Nothobranchius furzeri: one gene and its partners. The protein of the gene in region 2 purifies or fractionates together with the protein of the main gene of each other region. This does not show direct contact. Links are inferred from orthologs where the notes say so. Each region holds a gene or a part of one and is shown on either strand. Other genes may lie near its edges. The genes, in order: smad6b, smurf1 and stk38a.

What was found.
Region 1: the proteins of smurf1 (region 2) and smad6b purify together in Homo sapiens (affinity purification with western blotting; 4 studies listed by BioGRID). This does not show direct contact. The link is inferred for Nothobranchius furzeri from reciprocal best matches to the Homo sapiens genes SMURF1 and SMAD6.
Region 3: the proteins of smurf1 (region 2) and stk38a purify together in Homo sapiens (affinity purification with western blotting; 3 studies listed by BioGRID, with this or other methods). This does not show direct contact. The link is inferred for Nothobranchius furzeri from reciprocal best matches to the Homo sapiens genes SMURF1 and STK38.

The regions. Positions count from the first base shown.
Region 1 is NC_091744.1:65,940,178-65,947,461, forward strand, and holds the start of smad6b (mothers against decapentaplegic homolog 6b), read right to left. Parts: upstream 4,803-7,284; 5' UTR 4,586-4,802; coding exon 3,787-4,585; intron 1,637-3,786; coding exon 1,580-1,636; intron 1-1,579. UniProt on the Homo sapiens protein: Transforming growth factor-beta superfamily receptors signaling occurs through the Smad family of intracellular mediators. SMAD6 is an inhibitory Smad (i-Smad) that negatively regulates signaling downstream of type I transforming growth factor-beta.
Region 2 is NC_091752.1:65,334,783-65,341,522, reverse strand, and holds part of smurf1 (E3 ubiquitin-protein ligase SMURF1), read right to left. Parts: intron 1,697-6,740; coding exon 1,658-1,696; intron 1,557-1,657; coding exon 1,448-1,556; intron 1,364-1,447; coding exon 1,230-1,363; intron 1,142-1,229; coding exon 1,076-1,141; intron 979-1,075; coding exon 903-978; intron 755-902; coding exon 543-754; intron 455-542; coding exon 370-454; intron 1-369. UniProt on the Homo sapiens protein: E3 ubiquitin-protein ligase that acts as a negative regulator of BMP signaling pathway. Mediates ubiquitination and degradation of SMAD1 and SMAD5, 2 receptor-regulated SMADs specific for the BMP pathway.
Region 3 is NC_091755.1:45,357,660-45,365,143, forward strand, and holds the start of stk38a (serine/threonine-protein kinase 38), read right to left. Parts: upstream 4,666-7,484; 5' UTR 4,266-4,665; exon of another isoform or gene 4,156-4,265; intron 4,088-4,155; exon of another isoform or gene 3,794-4,087; intron 2,281-3,793; 5' UTR 2,274-2,280; coding exon 2,143-2,273; intron 185-2,142; coding exon 133-184; intron 1-132. UniProt on the Homo sapiens protein: Serine/threonine-protein kinase that acts as a negative regulator of MAP3K1/2 signaling. Converts MAP3K2 from its phosphorylated form to its non-phosphorylated form and inhibits autophosphorylation of MAP3K2.

The DNA of each region.
Region 1 (7,284 bases), on a different chromosome or scaffold from region 2:
TCATTCCAATATAATAGGATTTTTTTTTTATTCTAAACAATAAACCCCACCAAAGGCTTCACCACACAGTTAATGACCTCGTAACCTCACTGGCAGACTTTTAAGTGTTGACATCCTCTCAAACACAGCCAGAAACTTTAAACTGTACTCAGGCTTTTGATCCAGTAGTCTCCCACTACAAACAGCTACAACCAAAACCATTCAAACCAACTGACTGTAGTGGTCCAAACAAAAGATAAACATTTGAGCTAAATTATTGATAAATAAAGGTAAGAGATATGCATTATAATTAGTCCAAGTGACTTTGAGACCCAACCTGTGGAGATTATTTCCCTAAATTCAAAGAGATGGAAGTACTCACTATATATATATATATATATATATATATATATATATATATATATATATATATATATTTTTTTTTTTTTTCAGTCCTTCCAATTTGCTTCAGTCTGGTTTTGCGATTACAAAAACCAAACTCTCAACAACATGTGAGTACAGGACTGGCAAAGATGGTTTCTAAGCAGGACATATTCTGGGAATCACAATCTTCCTTGAGAGTATAGTTATTACCAGATTTCACTTATAAACAGTGTTTTCTTTTTAATGGTCATGCATTTAAGAAAATAAGTTGTGTTTACCAGATCCTCCAAGCAGCAAAGAACACCTCCGCAACTGCTTACTGCTGGGTGTTCTTGTTATATAAGTGGTGCTTTTTTACTCCAGACATGATTCATGGATATAAATTGTTTTTAACTGATCTATAAAAATATTATCAGGTACCTAAAAGTGTGTTCAGCTTTTTTTCTCCAACTGTAATTCAACCTGTGCACACTTTTTTATTTAAAGGTGTGGGAAACCCATTTAATCGATTTGTTTGCAGTGGTTTCTAGTAGGAATTAATGCCTTGTAAGTCATACCCTGGGGGGAAAATATACCGGGGCACCATTTTCAGGAACTAGTTGTTAACCACATCATAGCTGAGCTTTAGACAATGGTCTTATTTCCTGATATTTGAACATCTCGCTCCGGATTGGATAACAGCAACGCGACTCTTTCACTCACTTCAAAGTTTATGTTTTATCTCCACAAATAACAGCATGGAGGTTTTCTGCTGTGTAGTGGTGTTGCTAATGCTAATGGTTAGCTTCTACTTGCATGCTAATGGTTAGCTTCTACTTGCTAAGATGTTATCCGCTGTTTCCTGGACGCTAAACCCACAACACCATTCCCCATCACGAGTCACGATGGGTGAGTCCATTAATACTTAGTGATATTGTGATGTAGATCTGTCGAGCTTTTCAAAACCAGGATTTTCACCAAACCATCACTGTCAGAGGCTAATGCAGGAGATAAGTGTAGGAGACTGTCATGTTCAGCCTGCATGAAAAACTCAGAGCGACTGATTATAATCTGGAATAATTATTTTAAAAATGTGTTTTAAGTGTTCCACACCTTAAAGTCTTTGCACTCTTCCAAATTAAACAAGCATGATCAATTAAAAAAACATTCATAACCACATAAAATACATGGAAAGACTTCAAATGTAACAGAGTTTATTATTGTTTTTGTCTCTTACCCAGTGGCTTGTGTTCTTCGTTAGGGGAAAGCCTTGAATATGGAGGAGGAGGTGACTCTGCACACAAAACAGTAATATAAATATCCAAATTACACAATGAAAAGTCTTCTGTAAATCAAAATCTTCAGTTAAACAGAGCAGAATAAAGCAGGACGTTAAAGAATGTCGGATGAAGACTTCTAGCTCTGCTTCTTTGCGTACTAAACTGTAAAGACTTGTGTTCTGACAAGACAAACTTGAGTATTTTTATAGTATTACACGCATTACATGCATACCACACGTTGAATGAGATTCTGTTTGAAGTTGTGATCAAAGTCTTTCATAAAAAGGGAAAAGGAAGAGGACACTCATGCACAACTTGACTCAAGCCACAACAGTCGCGTCAACACATGAGACAACAGATCAGTGTCAAGAGTACCAGACTTCTTCATAATGTATTTGACATCTTTTAGTTCACAAGCTAGTTTAAAAGCTCATAAAACCAACAGAACATTTGCTCTTCTGGTTTAAGCATGTGAACAGCAGATAGTATAAAAGCCACTGCCTCCAAACAGCTCGACTTTATCTCATAAAACAGGACTGGAGAGCACAAGGGGGACAGCACAAAGGAGAGAAAAGTTTGTGAGCATGCCGTGACCTCGTCTGTGGGGGGGAGAAATGGGAAGGAGGCAAGCATAATAGCAGCGGGTCTTTTAAGAGTGGCGGCAGTAATTGCCAGGATCTGAACTCAGTCACTCAGATACACAGCGAGTCAGTCTGGCGCCAGCAGTATGCAAACTGTATATTATCACCACTCCTTCACCTAAATAGCATGAGGGGACCTCCTCGGGACAAAAGGGCTTTTAAAGTGCAACTTGAAACTGATCTCATTCGAAAAGTATAAAGCCTGGCCAAATAAAAGGGAAAAGTTTCTGTCCAATTCAAGCTCTTTGCCTGTGTTAAAACTCACACGTAAACAAGTCAACCTGACTGCAATTCAAACCGCTTTCTTAGACGTGTTTAGAATTTGGTCAAACCCAATCTTATTCTGTTCAATTCAGGGACTTCTCCTCCATTCCCATTTACAAACATTGTCAGCAGCAGTGATTAAGGTCCACATTCAATGGCCTTCTTCTTCAAATAGCGCGAAAGAAATACCAGCTCTATCTTGCCACGCATGAGCGCATGTGAGTTATGTCCACTACGAGCCTCAGTCCCAATATGGGGTTCATGCCTCTCTCTGCTTTACAGCTCATCATCTCGGAGGTTTGAGTCGGGGAGGAAGATCCCACAGCATGGCCTCCAATCCACACGAGCAGATGGAACAGATTTATTCAGCTCAAACATCATAATTCTTCCAGAACTGACACATTTGTGATTAAGTAACCAAGAAAGCCAAAGGCAAACAATGTGCCTTTGGCCTTCCACAATATGGATCCCAATAATTTCTTGCCTCATGTCTTTTGGAGTGCGTGTCATGGGGAGCATGGCTCTAATAAATGTGGATGTTATGGAAAATCCTCCACCGGTGCCAGTGAGGTGACAGAAATACTGATGCTTGCATCTTCACACACGAAGCCAGGCCTCGTCACGGGGGGTCAGCGGGGTTGAGTCGCCCAGGTTTTCCATCACGGGCCAACCCCAGCCAACATTTAATCTCTTTAATATAGGTCAGGGAGGTTGTGCCTTAGAGATCTCTCTCTCCCTCCCTCTCTCTCTGCAAATAAACCGACCTGTGGCAGCAGGTTCAAGCCTTAGAATGAGTCTAATAGTTCACACTAACTCAAAACAGTTGTAAGAACTCAAAGCAGATGTACTGACCAACACTTATTCACAACCACCAATACTGGCTGCTAGATTTCACAGTAAAAGTGCTTTGCGAGTAACATGAACACTGATCTAATAGGTCAGCGTGTGTGATGCGCTGTTATGACATAAAAGTTAGTTAAATAGAACTTTGCAAGCCTTAAACTAGTGATCACCTCAAATATGTGCCATGTTAATGTAAACAGAACTGTCATCAGACATTATCAATATTTTGACATTTATTCACAAATATGGATTAGAGCTGTTCATAATGCCATTTTTCCTGACTGTTGTAAATATTTTATAGCTCATGAGATGTCCGTTTGTTTTGTTATATAAACTAAAAACGTCATCAGTGTCTTTATGGGGTGTTTTTTGATCTGTAAAGAAGCAGAAGAAGGTTGTGGTGCTGATGTCCTTACCTGGGCCACAGAGTCGGCTGTAGTGATAGGGGTTGCAGCACACTGTTGGACTGTCCGGAACCCCAAAGCTCCTGCACTCACACAGCAGTTTGAGCTGGGCTGACTGTTGCAGGTCGGGCCAGCGGTACACTTTACACGCCAGCAGCTGAGGGGACGCCACATGTCCGCCCAAAATCAGCTCTGTCCTGGAAATCATCACACAGTCGCTCGGCATGCCACCCCTGGACTCCACCGCCTCCAGTAAAGTATCCAGCGCCCTCTCCTTGAGCCTCTTCAGGAGGGAGTACGTGGCTGATTTCAGCTCCTGCTCCAGCACCGCGCGCGGCATCGCCTCCTGCGCCTCGGGAGAGCCGCTGTCTCCTCCTGGTCCGAGGCTCCTCAACATGAAGTGGCAAGAGCCAGGATCTCTGGCGCCCTGAGCCGTCTCTGCAGCCCTGAGCTCGGAGTGGTCCCGGTCAGTGAACAAGCAGCACGTTACTGTCCTGCACTCGCTGTCCTGGATGGAGCGGGGGCTCCCTCGTTGCTCCCGGACGCACATCGCACCCGCATCTTCTTGGTCCGAAGCGCCGCTGCTCTCCATGGAGCACACACCCCCCACGTCCCTGACTACAGACCCGCCAGAGGGGGTCATCGGTCTGAACTCCGTTTTGGGAATTTTCTCTGGGTTGTTGCAGAACAGATCGTCCCTACAGCCGTCTCCGGTGCTAGTTTTGCCATTTCCATCTCCCCCTTCTTTATCTGGGATCAAACGGCTTCTCCAGAGTCGCCGCACAAGACCTGAACGTTTCGTCCTGAACATACGACAACTTGAATATCTATTAGGTTTTTTGTTATTATTATTTAACGGATATACCACAGATTATTGTGTCTTTGCAGAACATTAATGACGGTGACAGAAACGCCGTGCAGTGCTTGCACAGCCAATTGGAGAGCACTGGTGGCGAAACCGCAACATTAGAGTGGAGGCTATTTTGTTGCATCTAGAGTAACAAAAGCATGCATTAAATGCAATGCAGCATTCTGTTCAATATGCATGCATTCGGCCGATCAGACTGTAAACAACCAGGCGGGTGGAAGCGTGTTTTCTCCAGGATCGCTGCGGAATGGATTGTTTGTGTTTGCTAGGAGTGAATAAAACAGAAAGTCACATAATCCATGTCGGTCAGTCTCAGCCTGAAACAGATTCACTTTTAACGGCTTCAGATCTGCTTTTTGTCACCGGTACAATTGGTAGCATGTACTTCAATGCGATTCATTCCCAAGAAGAAACAAAGTGCACCAAAATCCTTGCTGTCTTTTGGAGACGAAACACTTCTTTCTGGTTATAAATCCCCCAAAAATAAAATAAAATTAAAAAATAATAAAGAAAATCCAGGCGAGAGGAGGAAGCGGACTGATCTGGCGCTGAGTAACTCTCCTTCTCAGATCTAAACCAAACTGAAGCCCAGATCCCTTTCTTTCTCCGTTTCTCGCTCTTTTTTTATTTCACTCCCCCCCTCGTCTTCCTCTCTCTCTCTCTCTCTCTCTCTCTCTCTCTCTCTCTCTCTCTCTCTCTCTCTCTCTCTCTCTCTCTCTCTCACACACACACACACACACACACACACACACACACACACACACACACACACACACACACACACACACACACACACACACACACACACACACACACACACACACACACACACACACGGGGCCCCCGAGGAGAGCGGTGGAGCCATTGGCTGACTACCATCATGTGCTAGTCTAGACACTTTGGCGGCTATGAGCTGCACTGATTGTTGCGCAAACAAGGTTTCAAGTTTCTTAACTCTTAAAGGCGAAACACTCACCTCTCGGGTTTTAAGTCAAAGTTACTGAAACTCTCACATCCTTGATGCGTCTTCTGATGAGAGAAGAAAACAAAGTTAAGAACTTTTATCTATAGTCTATATATTTACTTGAAGTTTAAAGAAGCGAGCATCTGTGATTATTTTATTTCTGGAGTCTGAAGAAAACCTGTAAATTAATTGCGCTGGGAGTGAGAATGTATTGAATTATAACACTCATCACTCTGCACAAGCATTGTAAAAGAAAAACAAAATATGACTTCGTTTTTTGTTTTTACTGTTTTAACCCCACCAAGCAAAAAATGACAATTTAGTTCCAAAAATTATATCTTGGTCGTAATATGTTATGTGGTGATTAGTTAATTCACTAACCGTCTTAAAAAATCAGTTTTAGAACCCCTAATACAAATACACACATCGTAAAGCTATAAAAATGCCATAGTTTTTTAAAATGTTTTTTTTTTTTTGTGATATTAAACGGAGGAGGAGTAGGCACAATCAAGCAGCCTGGCAAGCATGGACGTAGTTTTGCTTTTAGAAGTGGGGGGGACACAACCGATATGAGGACTGGGGGTGGTGGGGAACCTTTACAGTAAGTACAATCGTTTATCACAAATATACATTTGCTAAATGTATATTTGTGATAAACAATTTACAGTGTTAACTTTAGGGTCATGTGATCACCACAAATGTATGTTCTTAAAGCTCACAGCTTCTCAGCAAAAGCAAAGTCCTCAAGCGGAAAACAACCATTTGTGTTTAAGCTTGTTCCCCATTAGAACATACTGTAAAGCCCCCCCCCCCCCATGTCGGTTGTATCCCCCCACTTCTTAAGACAAAACTACGTCCATGCGCGTTCTAACTAAATAGTGCCAGCTACACAGCTTTTTTCAATCAGCTCATGGTCTCTATTTTAGTTACGATATCTTTGTAGTCCTCGTAGGGATTGATGAATAAGTCTTGTTCTGTCTGGATGAAGAACGAGGCTCTGTTCTTTACTTCCATTCTCATTTATCTAGCATCGATTAACAGGGGCTGTCTATGGACACGCGTGAGCCTTGATTGACGATAGGCCGATAGGGAATTGAATCCACCTGAGAATCATTAGTGGAGCCGGCGAAACTGGGAGGGGAGGGGAGCGCTTTGTCAAGCAGGGATTTATCAGGTAGATGTTCTAAAGTCTCTTTCTGGAATACCATCCTGGCAGCTGGAAAAAAAAGTGGGCACATCCTGTTAACAATGTGGAGTGACAGCAAGAATGGCCAATCACATGTTAGCAAGTATCAGAAAAGCCAATAGATGAGCTTATGAACGGTTCTAATGGGAGACAGGCTTCAACACAAGTAGTTGTTTTCCGCTTGGTCCTAGAACTCAACCAGTGTCTATTTAAATTAGCGTAATATCATTTTTGGATGGTAAAAAGTGCATGGGACAAAAGTTTACTTTGGAAAAAGTAGGGGGTGACATGTCCCTCCCCTCCAAAAAAAAAAAAAACATCCATGCTGGCAAGCCAACCTGCTGTGAATGTCTGGCCATGACCCATTGACTCATCTCAGCTATGAAGCAGGATCTACAGTTGTCTTTCAAACTTTCTCTGCATGCTATTGGATAACAATAACAAACACCATGATGTACTCACTGCTACAGATGTCAGTCAACAGGGCAGTTC
Region 2 (6,740 bases):
CTTGCTTCCAACAGGAATTGTCCTCGACAGGAATCTAAGACTCATGATTGGCTGGTCAGACAAAGCCCGTCATTGGTTCTTTGAGAAGGAAGCTAGAATTGGGACAAAATGTTTTGTAACTGTAGACTGAGATTTGTGTTTTGAAACTTGTGATTTGGAACTTGTGCACTGACTTTTTTTCTGAAAGTTACAAAATGAAAGTTTCAAGTTATGTACCAAATGTTACGTGTTACAAAACGAAAGTTGCAGTTACAAAACATGTTACGGGTTACAAAGCTTGGTACAAGTTACATGTAAAATTGTCCCAATCCTAGTTCCATATGGGTGATGTTTGGAGAGTGAGAGAAGCAGCAGTGTGTGATCGCTCACCGTGGTATCCGAGGGTCGTGCCAGGTGCTGACCCCTGTCTGTGTGTGAAGGAAGTACACCTGCCCCTGAACTGTTGTTCTCTGCTCTGTTTTTAAAGCAAAAACAGATAAAACGGCCTTAGAAACTATCTGAGTCAAGTTTGGGTTGGATAAAACCTTTGCTGTTAAACTAACCGTATCCCTCCGGCAGGTCAGGCGGCTGATGCCCGTGCGGTCTGTTCTGAGGGGTGTGGCCGTGACCTCTGGAGTCCTGCCCCCTGATTCGCTGCGATGGAAGACGGCTCTCCTGATTTGGGGAGTCCAGCCGGCAGTTCCCGCCTCCCGCAGCACCAGTGGGGTCAGAGTAGGGGAGCGGCTCCTCGCTGAAACATCCCTCAAAAACAGGCCTGCACCAAAAAGAAAACAAACCTCACAGCTTAAACTAACGGTGATCAAACCAGTAAGAAAACATATTTTGCTCCCAAATTTTGTGGTGACCTTATTCACAGGATGGAGTTTGATAAATTCAGCAAAAACACGTGGCAACACACTTACGCCTCATTTTCCAGCAGGCCTCTACAGTCCACCACCGGCCCGCCGCTGCCGATGCGGTCTCGTGTTTGTAGGCTAACTGTAAACAACAAGAACGACCAGATTAAAGTGCTGACAGGGCGAGGGACAGGAAGGGACGACGCGAGAAAAACACCGTTTTGGACAAATAGTCTTACCTACAATCTGACCCCTGACTGCATCGCTGTCAGAGGGGTTCAGCTTACAGAGATCTAACCGCTGGTCTGGAGGAGGAAGCAAACTCAGGGTTTTAATCTCAGTCATGATAAATGAGTCAAAGGAAAGTTTTAAACCACGACGAATTAGAATTACATCCTGTGTCTTTTAGCCTGCTGATGGCGTTGGAAAGCAGCCGTATGCAGCCCAGAAACCCCGCCCCCTGTCGTTTGTGGATCTTCTTATGGTTCCATATACTGATGGTGATGGAGTCCGTCTTCCCGATGTAGCTGGAGAACAAGTTCCATTCATCATTTTGAATATATTGTGACATTTTCATCAAGGTCAAACATCTTTACAGAAAGGAAACTCACAGGTCATAGTGCTGGTTCCACTTGGGATCCAGTGTGCTCTTGACGGTGTCGGTGGAGTGGCACTGGCCCGATCCGTCTACCACCACCTTGGCAAATGGATCTGGTAGACCTGCACCCACACACACACACACACACACACACCAGCTCTCTGTTTCCATTGTTGCAACAAAATAATAATATTTACAAAAACACTGACGTAAAAATACTTACGAAAGAAGTCTTTCTTTGCGAGGTTCTTGGCACACAATACTACAATAAACAAAAAGAGAAAGTATGAAGAAAATGTCACATGCATAAACATGTAGTTAATGATGGCGTGTGGGCTGCTGCCATGAAATCTGGTGCAGAAAAAGATTCGGAGGAGGAAGAATGCAGGTTTGAATTTCAATGAGCAGAAAAACTAAGAAACTAAAACACGACACCCATCACAGCAGAAACCAACAATTAGTTATGCTTTAAGCTGAAATTTATCTAAAAAATCATCAATACAGGTTTTTTCTTTATCTTAACTCGGATGTTTTTAACTGCAATGCAGCACATGAACACCCGGGGGCAGTGTCGCTGCCAGGACTGCACACAACCCAACCAGCAGAGAAGAACTTCTCAGGAGGAAGGTAAGGTCCGTTCCTCAGTGTCAAGGAACCTCGCCTTGATGTCTTGGTCCTACCCCGGTTGCCTAGGAGATACATCATCAGGAACCGCCAAGGCTGCTCCAAATTGCTCATGTTCTACCGAGGCGCGTGTTCTTCGTTTGTTAGCCTTTTAGCTAGCTGAGCAAGGATACACAGAAGGTGTATTCAAACCTGGCCTGTGTCAAAAATTCCCCAGAATACGCCGCAGTATTTTCAAAAGGATGGCGAATCAGGAGCCAGCAGCTACTTCTAGGGTTGTCACGGTGTGAAAATTTAACCTCACGGTTATTGTGACCAAAATTATCACGGTTTTCGGTATTATCTCAGTATTTTTTTTAAACGTGTTACATTTTCAGACAACTAAATAAACCCTGTATGTCAGGAAAATATTGTCCTCAGTTTGTGTCTAAATTTTGCCTAAATTTTTTTATTTTGTAATTATGTTGTTTATTTGTTTACATTTTTCCCCTTTAGTCTTTAAAATACCGATATTTGCCCATAACTTCTTATTTTTTGTCTGTTTGATGTCATCATTTTAAAAATATTAGACCAGATGGTACTCAGTACTCAAGTAGCCTTCTAATCAGATACTTTTTTACCCTTACTTGAGTAATAAACCTTAAATCAGGAAAATATTGTCCTCGGTTTGTGTTCCAGTGAGCTTTGCAGATGTGGGAAAATGTCATCAGGCAGTAATCATTGTTAAATTCATAATTATTCTCGGAGAGAGACCAACTCTTATCTGCCCCTGGGAGCCCCGTAATGCATAGCGTCATTTCAACATGGGGGTGTCCGCGACACGGTTTATATGCAGGTAGCGGCGCTGCGGCTGCTTTATATAGCGACTCGTTGCATTCTCCCTCAACCCAAATCCTCGGATCACGCATTTTAGCTAAAACGCTAACGTTAGCTTGCCTTGCGTTAACTGTAGATTTGTGGGTGATGGTCACGCAGATGTGTCATGAAATTTGAAGTGTTGCTGCCTTTCACAGACACTTTTTCTGCACGTGCTGCAAACAGGATAGCCGTCTTCTATCAACCGTCCCTCGGCATTCTTCAAATATCCAAAAAATGCCCGTACTTCCCACTTTGTCTTCTTTGAGGGATAATAAATGTCCTGAGCGCTGCCGTCTCCTCCTTTTGTCCATAGAGTACTGAATATCATCTGATCTAATATTTTTAAAATGATGACATCAAACAGACAACAAATAAGAAGTTATGGGCAAATATTGGTATTTTAAAGACTAAAGGGGAAAAATGTAAACAAATAAACAACATAATTACAAAATAACACATTTTAGGCAAATTTTAGACACAAACTGAGGACAATATTTGTTGTTTATTTAGTAACCCTGAAAATTTAACATGTTTAAAAAAATACCGCGATAATATCGAAAACCGTGATAATTTTGGTCAGAATAACCACGAGGTTACATTTTCACACCGTAACAACCCTACTATAGGTCTGAGGTGAGAGCAGGGGTGGGATTTAATAAGTTTTCTTCATCCCACTTCTTTTCAGGTAATTTTTGTTTCTTGTTTTTGTGCACTTTATGTTTTATATATATATATTTTGTTGTGCCTGAAATGAAAAAAAAAGCGATTATCCTAAAATTATTTAGTTATTGTTCTTTTATGAGTTGCATATATCAGTGTCAGAAATTAAATGGGTTCTATAACCCCCCCAAGGCGCTTCGCAACACAATCAGTCATTCACCCATTCACACGCTAGTGGGGATGAGCTGTGATGTAGCCTCAGCTGCGCTGGGGCGCACTGACAGAGGCGGGGCTGCCAAACACTGCCCCCACAGGTCCCTCCGACCACCACCAGCAGGCAACGTGGGTTAACTGTCTTGCCCAAAGACACAACAGAAGCATTATCTGGTCAGAGCCGGGATCAAACCTGCAACCGTCTGATTACTGGACAACCCACTCTACCTACTGGGCTACTGCTGTCCTGTAAGAGTAAGACAATATGGGTATATCAAAAATAGGTGACAAACAACAAAATGTTGGGATTCAGCCTGCTGGAGCAGCTGAGCTGCGGTAGGTAGGTGTTGTGCAAAGAAAAGTGAGCCGCCAGCCATGCCGCCGCCCCGCCTCAGGAACAATACAACACAGATGCATATTGAGGACGCAATCAATTTGAAATGAGCGACAAGGCTCATTTTATATATACTTGTGATATTAACTTTTCATACTAACATACTTCCTGAATGTTTCCTCTGCAGATAGACTAAGGAAATGACAAATACAGAAAGAAATACATAAATAAAATAAAGAAAACTTAAAAGGAGAACTTGGATGTGTTCTCCTTTTATCTTCTTGTTTCAACGCTTCGCTCAAGTCTCGGACTGGGACTCTGTATCCAGCAGACGCACAAAAACAAGCGACTTGGACTCGGATCAGGAGCGAAAAAATGCGATTGAAATATTACTAATTTAGACTCTTGCTGAGCAGTTTAGAAAACCATTAGAATAATAATATTAATGGTTTTCACGGTTTGCCTTTTTCCTCCCAGGATCTGAGACTTCCTAAGAAGTCTGTGCTGTGGGATGTGATGAAGGAGGTGGCGTACATGTGTCTGGCGTAGCCGGGCCTATTTCCTGTGATTAACCAACGGAGAATGGCTGCAGGATATCCTTCCCTTTTCCTCGTCAACCTCTTTCATTGCTCCTCCATCTGACTCACACATTCCTCCCCCAGACCTCATCTTTTTATCAGACACAATAAAATACCCAGAGAGGAAAAGAGTCGAGTGTCTGAACTCTGACTCTTCTTTCACTGAATCCATACAGGAAGTCTCTCCTGTCTCCCGTCTCTGTCCTGCTGAGCCATCCAAACCTCTAATCTTCCAAACTCCTCCCAGAGACAGACACCTCTAAATGCATCTATTCATCGTTTTCTTTCCGCCTCTTGACCAGCTCTCTTGTGGTGCTCTGTGTGTGTGTGAGACAGGCTCTTTCAGAGAAAACCTCCCACCAGCCAAGGTCATGGCTGAGACGGCTCAGCTGGTCACCCATTTCCAGTTATTCTCCATCACCTTTTTTAAAAGATGGATTTTCTCCTTTGACTCTTAAACTCAGATTAAAGGGAAACTATGTAATTTTTTAAACATTTTTAAATAAGTTTCTTGAGCCAGCATGTGCTAAAATGACCCTTTACAGGGTTAATGTAAGGGTCTCTCAGCCCCAGTAGCCAGAATACCACATTTGCAACCGGAGAGTAGGGTTGTCACGGTAACCGGTGTAGCGGTAAACCCCGGTAAAAAAGTTGACAATAATAATAACAGTCTTGTTTTTAAAAAAAAAAAAAAGATCTCGGTGGGTTTACCGTGGCTGCGGTGTAGGCGCGGTGACCCTTACCAGCCACCGTATCATCTGCTGAAGTTGCCGGCAGCACATGCGCGCTTTGTTGTTTACAACCAAAACTTTCTTGAAGCTAAAGCTGAAATAATGGCCAAAGGAGGAGACGGCAGCGCGCAGGACATTTATTATCCCTCAAAGAAGACAAAGTGGGAAGTACGGGCATTTTTTGGGTATTTGAAGAATGCCGGAGGACAGTTTATAGAAGACTGCTATCCTGTTTGCAGCACGTGCAGAAAAAGTGTCTGTGAAAGGCAGCAACGCTTCAAATCTCATGACACATCTGTGTGACCATCACCCACAACTCTACAGTCAACGCAAGGCAAGCTAGCGTTAGCGTTTTAGCTAAAATGCGTGATCTGAGGATTTGGGCTAAGGGAGAATGCAACGAGTCGCTATATACAGGGTATCTGCAGGTTTAAGGGAGCCAAATTTAAGACTTTTTAAGACCTTTTTAAGGCCACTTTGACCAATTTAAGCTTTTTTTTTTTCAATTAAATTTAAGCTATAATTTCCTGCTATTGCCTGGAACCGGTGCTAACCACGTTGCAAACGTGGGATTAGCCATCTAGATACCATTAAACTTGCACTTCCCCATGGCGCAAGCTCCCACTAGCTTAACCAGCTAATGTGCTCATCTAAAAATAGCCCCTTTTCACAACCAACTGAATGTGTACGGTTCCACTTTTGCAAATGTCATACACAAAAAATGCTGAACACAAACTAGAAATTCACAACAACAAAAAAAAAAAAAAGAAATAAAAGAGTCTTATTAATTGGGTCTTTGGTAATTTAAGACCTTTGGAAACTGTATTTAAGGATTATTTATCATTTTTAAGGATTTTTAAGGCCTTAAATTTGGAAAAGCAAATTTAAGACTTTTTAAGACTTTTTAAGGACCCGCGGATACCCTGTATATAAAGCAGCCGCAGCGCCGCTACCTGCATATAAACCGTGTCGCGGACACCCCCATGTTGAACTGACGCTATGCATTACGGGGCTCCCAGGGGCAGATAAGAGTTGGTCTCTCTCCGAGAATAATTATGAATTTAACAATGATTACTGCCTGATGACATTTTCCCACATCTGCAAAGCTCACTGGAAGGACACAAACCGAGGACAATATTTTCCTGATATAGGGTTTATTACTCAAGTAAGGGTAAAAAGGTATCTGATTAGAAGGCTACTTGAGTACTGAGTATCATCTGGTCTAATATTTTTAAAATGATGACATCAAACAGACAAAAAATAAGAAGTTATGGGCAAATATTGGTATTTTAAAGACTAAAGGGGAAA
Region 3 (7,484 bases), on a different chromosome or scaffold from region 2:
CATCTGCTGTAAAAGCACCAGACTGTCGACCGTTTGCTGGTCTCAGAGCCGTGATGAACGACTCGTGGCTGAGTAAGAATCACTAAAACTGAACAGAACAATAACAGACGTCAGCGTGATCCAGGAGCTCACCTCTTCATCAGCCAGACCCTCCTGGTCCATCACCTTCTCCAGCTTCTGCTGCCTGGTGACACAATTTAAGATGTGGTTCACTTGTTTAATCAGCACATCTGCAGTGGTCTGTAACGGGAACAAATGCTCTCCAAGTCGTTCTCTGAGGGAAAAGCTCAGATGCACCTGTTTCAGTACAAGCCAGCTTCAGACGACAGGATCTGGACTCCTGTGGTCCTTACACACTCGCATCCGCTCCACCCCGCCTGGACCGGGTTGGGAGTGTTCTCAAAACTGTGTGTACTGAAACTCTTAATTTCCCTCTGGGATTAATAAAGTATCTTTGAATTGCATTTAGGAAGCCATGAATTTTCCCAACAGACGTCTTTCCAGTCCTCTTCTCGAGGAGGTCTGCCTGGAGTGGAACAGGGCCCACATGCCTACTGCTGACTGGCTGGCTCAAAAGCACGCCTACCATTAGGGGGAGCCTCCGATTGGTCGGATAGAATCAGCCCAGCGATTCGTTATCATTCTGGATGCTGAGGGGGTAACGACCCTCTGTGTGTAGGACGCACACACACCCTAACCTAAAGTAAAAGCTAATTTACACCATACCTTTAAGACCAAGTGTTAGGGTGCTTCACCAGCAAAATGTCCATGCACGCACACGCACACACACACACACACACACACACACACACACACACACACACACACACACACACACACACACACACACACACACACACACACACCTTTAGATCATGAAAAGCCATTTAAGACTAAAGAAGATACTTAAACACAAACACAACTGATGTGTGAGTCTAACACATAATTGAATAAAGTGTGTTTGCACTCACACACACGTTCCTAGCTGTGATTAAGCGCCAAGCTAAAAACCACCAAATCCCAGGAAAGGTCAAGCCTTCCTTCCAGCAGGAAATCTAATCCAGTAAAATTATCCAACTTCTCGTTTTAGATCTAATAAATTCATAACTTTTATTTAATGACCCTCTTGTTGTTGTCCACTCAACGCACCAAAGACACCTGCTGACACACAGATGGTTCCCACTTCCACCCACAGTGGAAATGGAAAGGAGAACTGGAGTCCACGGGGGAATAACACAGAGCCACGGGTTCTGATAAGCAGACAACAGCTGGGTTCTAGGTCAAACTGAAGAAGTAGAACCAAGGAGGACGTCAAAGACAAGCGAGAGTTCCACCAAGAGGAACAGGAACCGCTATCTGAGCTCTCCAGCATGGAGATGAACATGTCCCCATTGTTCCACAGAGACTGGCTGACCCAGACAAGAGCTGAGCAGGTCAGACTTCCTCACTAGTGACACGTAACAGCTCCTCAGGTCAACACTCACCTGTCCTCCTACAACTCGGAGACAAGAGACGCTCCTCTGAGGACAGTGATAGTGCTTTCTGCTGAACAACATTAAACCATCTGTGTGAAACCAACAGTTGGACTTTTCTCACCGGGTGGTTTCACAAGCAGTACCACCTTAAACACGTGATCTAAAACCACACGTGTGTTAGCATCAGAACAATAATGGTCCAAATGAGTCACATGATGGGCTGACGTTAATGCGACTGTGGTGAGAACTTCCAACCCTGAGAAGCTTTAGGATGGGAGGCAAAACGTCCTCCAAGAGGAGAAGTCCAGCTGCCTGTTGTTTCAACTCTTGTGAGTAATCTGTGATGCAACTCATCGCAGCAGGAAACGGTCCTGCCCCAACTTCACCGTGACACAACCCACATCCTCCAGTCAGAAACACAAATCCCAACGTCAGGTTGATGACTTCAGCGTGTTAAAACAACCAGAGCTGCTTCACCAATCAGTTCGGAAAAATGTCAAATAGAACAATAAAATGTTTAGAAATATTTAAATAAATCCTGCACCTGCTCTGTTCGGGGCTCTGTCAGAGTTCAAGCCAAGAAGAAAAACAGCTACTTTAAATGTTCAAGCAGGTAAAATCCTTTAAACTTTTAGTTCTGGAAACAAAATGATCAGAGTAGTTTTACCTCATCTCTCTCTCCTCGTGTTGGGCGATCAGGTTACTGTAGAAGTTCTCCAGAGTCACTTTGGCCATGGTGACCCGTTCCTTGGTGTGGTTACTCATGGAGGAGAACGAGCTCTGGCCAGTCATCGCCATACTTTGTCTGGAAAACCAAAACTAAAGTGATCAGAACTTCCTGTCCCCCCCTTAAACTGTGTTGCAGTAAATATAAATAATACATCTGGTAATTATAGGCAGACGGTTGACGTTTTCAATCCAAGCCCTCATACAACATTACAGCAGGCAGCGTCTTAAATTACAGCCTTAAATTACATATCCGTGGAAGATAAACGATAGATGGACAGTTCAGGTTCATTTCCTGTTACATGACAGGTTGAATCCCAGCTTTACGCCACACAACTGGAACAATAACATCTTCTTCTCTCCATCTGTCCAGTTTCTGATGAACAACTTTAGAAATACGAGGAATGAAACTGTGTTTCAGTTGATCTGAATTCAAAAAGCTAATTTATCATCTAACGTATACCTGAGAAAAATTACGACATATCTAAACATTTATATTAAAAATAAACCTCTTGGAAGTTTAAACCTGAAAATGAGAGACTACACCTTTTGAGCACCAGGTAGTGAAGCCAGACTCAACTTAAACTTCCAAAAACTGAAAATATTCCTCTTAGCTTCTTGGAAGCGTCACAAGATCCGTTTTACACAAACGCAAGTCTGACATTTCTAAAGAGCATCAGAGCTGTTCAAGTTAACAGATCACCTGCCTGGAAGGGTTTTTTAAAAAGGTTTAATATGATTTGATTACACTGATAGAGCTTTAAGGGGTTTTTTCCCTCTTGAGGTCAACTTCAAAACAGTTCCAGGGGGTTTGTAAGAAAGAAAACAAGCTGCACGCTCCAGCTCGCAGCAACAATTCTCTGTTAAAATGAACCTGGGCTGAACTTAAAAACTGGAACTAAACGATGAGAAAACGGTTGGCTAAAACAAGAAGAGGAAGGCAGCCATTGAGCAATGCTGTGTCAACTGATAAATGCAGTAAACAACAGAATTATTTAATCATACTTAAGTCGTTTGGATGCGCCAGCTCTGATGCAGGTATCCCAAAAAGGATAGAAGCAGCTTCAGATGACGCAGGTTTTTTAATTCAGAATCAATTTCACCAACACGTAAAAGCCATCATTTTACTACTATGTGCAAACGACTTTTTGAAACGAGGAAACACAAAAAAAATAAAAATAATAAAAAACAATTACATTCACACTGGTAGTTTACTGGCTATTTGAATGACTGAATCCACGACTTCAAAGCTAGCAGCCCATCCCCGAGGCTTCTGTAAAACATCTTCATAACATTTGCATGAACGCAAAAAGGTAGTCTGCCCTGTTAAGTAGGTCTAAACTTAAACTGGGTGTGTTTCAAAGTCAAAATTACCTTGAATAAAGTGTTTTATTTCCTGCTCAATTAAACATTAAGTCACAAGTCGGTGGTAAAAAGCAAACAATGAGGGGAAGTTTAAATAATCACTAAACTGACCTAACCAGCCCTGAAAAAAAACGTAGCTAGTTTCGGTTGGAATGTAATGCCGCAGTTAGATAACTTTCATTAGAAGGAATCCCTTAAAGTCCTTAACCCACGAAGTTAAACATTACCTGGTTTCCTGTTGAGATAATAAATTTTACTTTTCCCTAACTTTCAGGTTCGTAAACAAACGTCTTATCCCGCTAACAGCACTCAGCTAGCTAGTTAGCTATTAAAGTTCTTGGCTTCATCAAGCTAGTCCGGAGAAGTAATGACAATGCCGGAAATATTTTCAAAATAAAGCTCCCCTCGACAAAGCAACAATGACTTAAAGGCATAATCATAAAGTGGACTTTTAATTTGACAGTCTTTACCGGAAATTCCTCATACGTTTAAACAAGTCTTACAAGTAGAAGTTCTTTAAGCCAACAGCTAAGTGAAAGTTAGCAAGTAAACGCTGTTTGCTACCCGAGGTCTTTGTGTGCAAACTGACCTTCATGCGGTGGAAAACAGTCAACAATAACTTCAGAACTAAACTAAAAGTCCGCCATGCTAACTAGTAGTGGTTTATTCCGTCTGTCATGTCAGTCTTTGTTCGCTTACCTTGATCGAAGGTGGGGTATCTGCCGCGTCTCTTGCTCTACACCGAGGGCGGTGCATCCTCCTCGCTTTCTACTCAGTTGCCACCTAGCGGCTCCGAGTGGACCTGTCAATTTATTTATTTACTTTTATTTAACCAGATGAGTCAACTTTGTCTTTTTGTCAATAATATGATCAAACATTTCTGTACTTAGCTAAATCTATTTTACTCTACTGTATATTGTTAAAATATAAATGTACTTATTTTATTTTATATGATCGCATGTGCCATTTTTATCTCTATTAAAAATTATATATTATATATATTCGTCGTCTTCCTCCGCTTATCCGGGTCCGGGTCACGGGGCAGCATCCCAACTAGGGTGCTCCAGACTGTCCTCTCCCCGGCCACCTCCACCAGCTCCTCCGGCAGGACCCCAAGGCGTTCCCGGACCAGATTGGAGATGTAACATCTCCAGCGTGTCCCGGGTCGACCCGGGGGCCTCCTGCCGGCAGGACATGCCCGAAACACCTCCCCAGGGAGGCGTCATGGGGCATCCTGACCAGATGCCCAAACCACCTCAACTGGCTCCTTTCGATCCGGAGGAGCAGCGGTTCTACTCCGAGTCCCTCCCGAATGTCCGAGCTCCTCACCCTATCTCTAAGGCTGAGCCCGGCCACCCTACGGAGGAAACTCATTTCGGCCGCTTGTATCCGCGATCTCGTTCTTTCGGTCATTACCCAAAGCTCATGACCATAGGTGAGGATTGGGACGTAGATCGACCGTTAAATCGAGAGCCTGGCTTTCTGGCTCAGCTCCCTCTTCACCACAACAGATCGGCTCAGCGTCCGCATCACTGCAGACGCCGAACCGATCCACCTGTCGATCTCCCGATCCCTCCTACCCTCACTCGTGAACAAGACCCCGAGATACTTAAACTCCTCCACTTGTGGTAGGACCTCTCCCCCGACCCGGAGTTGGCAAGCCACCCTTTTCCGGTCGAGAACCATGGTCTCAGATTTGGAGGTGCTGATCCTCATCCCAGCCGCTTCACACTCGGCCGCGAACCTACCCAGCAAGAGCTGAAGGTCAGAGCTGGATGAAGCTAGGAGGACCACATCATCCGCAAAAAGCAGAGACGAGATTCTCCTGCCACCAAACTCGACACACTCCACACCACGGCTGCGCCTAGAACTTCTGCCCATAAAGGTAATGAACAGAACCGGTGACAAAGGGCAGCCCTGGCGGAGTCCAACCCTCACCGGGAACAGGTCCGACTTACGACCTGCGGACCAAACTCACGCTCCTCTGGTAAAGGGACTGAATGGCCCTTAACAGAAAGCCACCCACCCCATACTCCTGGAGCGTCCCCCACAGGGTGCCCCTGGGGACACGGTCATAAGCCTTCTCCAAATCCACAAAGCACATGTGGATTGGTTGGGCAAACTCCCATGCCCCCTCCATCACCCTTGCAAGGGTATAGAGCTGGTCCACAGTTCCACGGCCAGGACGAAAACCACATTGCTCCTCCTCAATCTGAGATTCAACTATCGATCGGACCCTCCTCTCCAGTACCTTGGAGTAGACCTTTCCAGGGAGGCTGAGGAGTGTGATCCCCCTATAGTTGGAACTCACCCTCAGGTCACCCTTCTTAAAGATGGGGACCACCACCCCGGTCTGCCACTCCCTAGGAACTGCCCCCGATGACCACGCAATGTTGCAGAGACGTGCCAACCATGACAGCCCTACAACATCCATAGCCTTGAGATACCCAGGACGAACCTCATCCGCCCCCGGGGCTCCGCCGCTGTGTAGTTGTTTGACTACCTCAGCAACTTCTGCCCCCGAGATTGGACAGTCCATCCCCAGGTCTCCCGGCTCTGGTTCCTCCTCGGAATGCGCGTAGGTGGGATTGAGGAGCTCCTCCAAGTATTCCTTCCACCGTCCGACTATAGCCTCAGTTGACGTCAGCAGCTCCCCATCCCCACTGTAAACAGTGTGAGCGAGTTGCTGCCTCCCTCTCCTGAGGCGCCGGACAGTTTGCCAGAACCTCTTTGGAGCCGATCGAAAGTCTTTCTCTGGCTGCTTTTCCCAAAAGATGTAAAAATATGTAAATAAATCCTCTAAAGGTTTCACAAGAAAAAAAAAATCATAAGTGGAAAAACTAAAAGTAGAAATGAAAGCACGAATGGATCCTACATATTCTCCCCACTCTTTAAATGGTTGCTTTTAGAAAACTATTTGTAATGAGCATAAATTAAATGTTTTAGCAACCTGAAGGTTTTCCTAAAAATGTAATCACCGTTTAAACGTCATCTGAACTTTTCAACACAAGATCAAACACATCATGTTCAGATGTCTTTATTATAACAAAAACATCATCCTGAGTCCCACCACGTGAGGCGAATATGTTCTATTACTTTAATGAGAACTATTGTTTAATCATAAAAGACAGACCAGCCTTCCAGAGGAATCTCCATCACACCGTTCACAAACACCCAGCAGGTGGCGCTGTGGGCATGTAGAAAATACAGCTGTGTTGGAAAAAGTCCAGCAGCCAAACAGATTCATTTCAGTGGGTTTAACATCATTAACGAGTCACATGCCTGCTGGTTATCAGTCCTCCAAGGCCTGATAATCCCCCGTTGGTCCAAAAATGACTGCACGTGTAAAAACAGAGACGTTTCAGAAGTGGCCGGATTCTGAAAACTGGGATTTTTTTCCCAAACAGAACATCCCGGTCCTCCTCAGACCCAACAACCCCCTCAGGCAGAAACAGGTGCACCCAAACCTGAGCTGAGTGGGTAACCGAACATCCACACAAACACGGGAGAGACAACCCTTCAGGTGATTATTCCACAGAGCATTTACTTCTTAAAGAGAACAGACTAACTTGCATTAATTAAGTTTTAATTACCTAGGACTCCATCACTTATTTTGAAGTGATAAAAAACTGTCTTCAGGAAATAGACACGTCCAGTTGCATTTTTCTGCATCTAATAAAACATTGTTTTTATCATCAAATAAAAGGAAATAGATTTTTTCCCCAAACAATTTACATATTTAAATAATTTCAACATTTCCTCTTCCAGCCATCAGAGGGCACTGGAGCACCACCAACAGATCACCATTTAGAGGATGTGACTATATCTAAAGTACAGGCAGATCTGAGTCCAAATGGATGTTAATTCACCTTTCAGGGTCTTTAGGGCGACTCTTGCTTCTGGGAACAGCTGATGTAT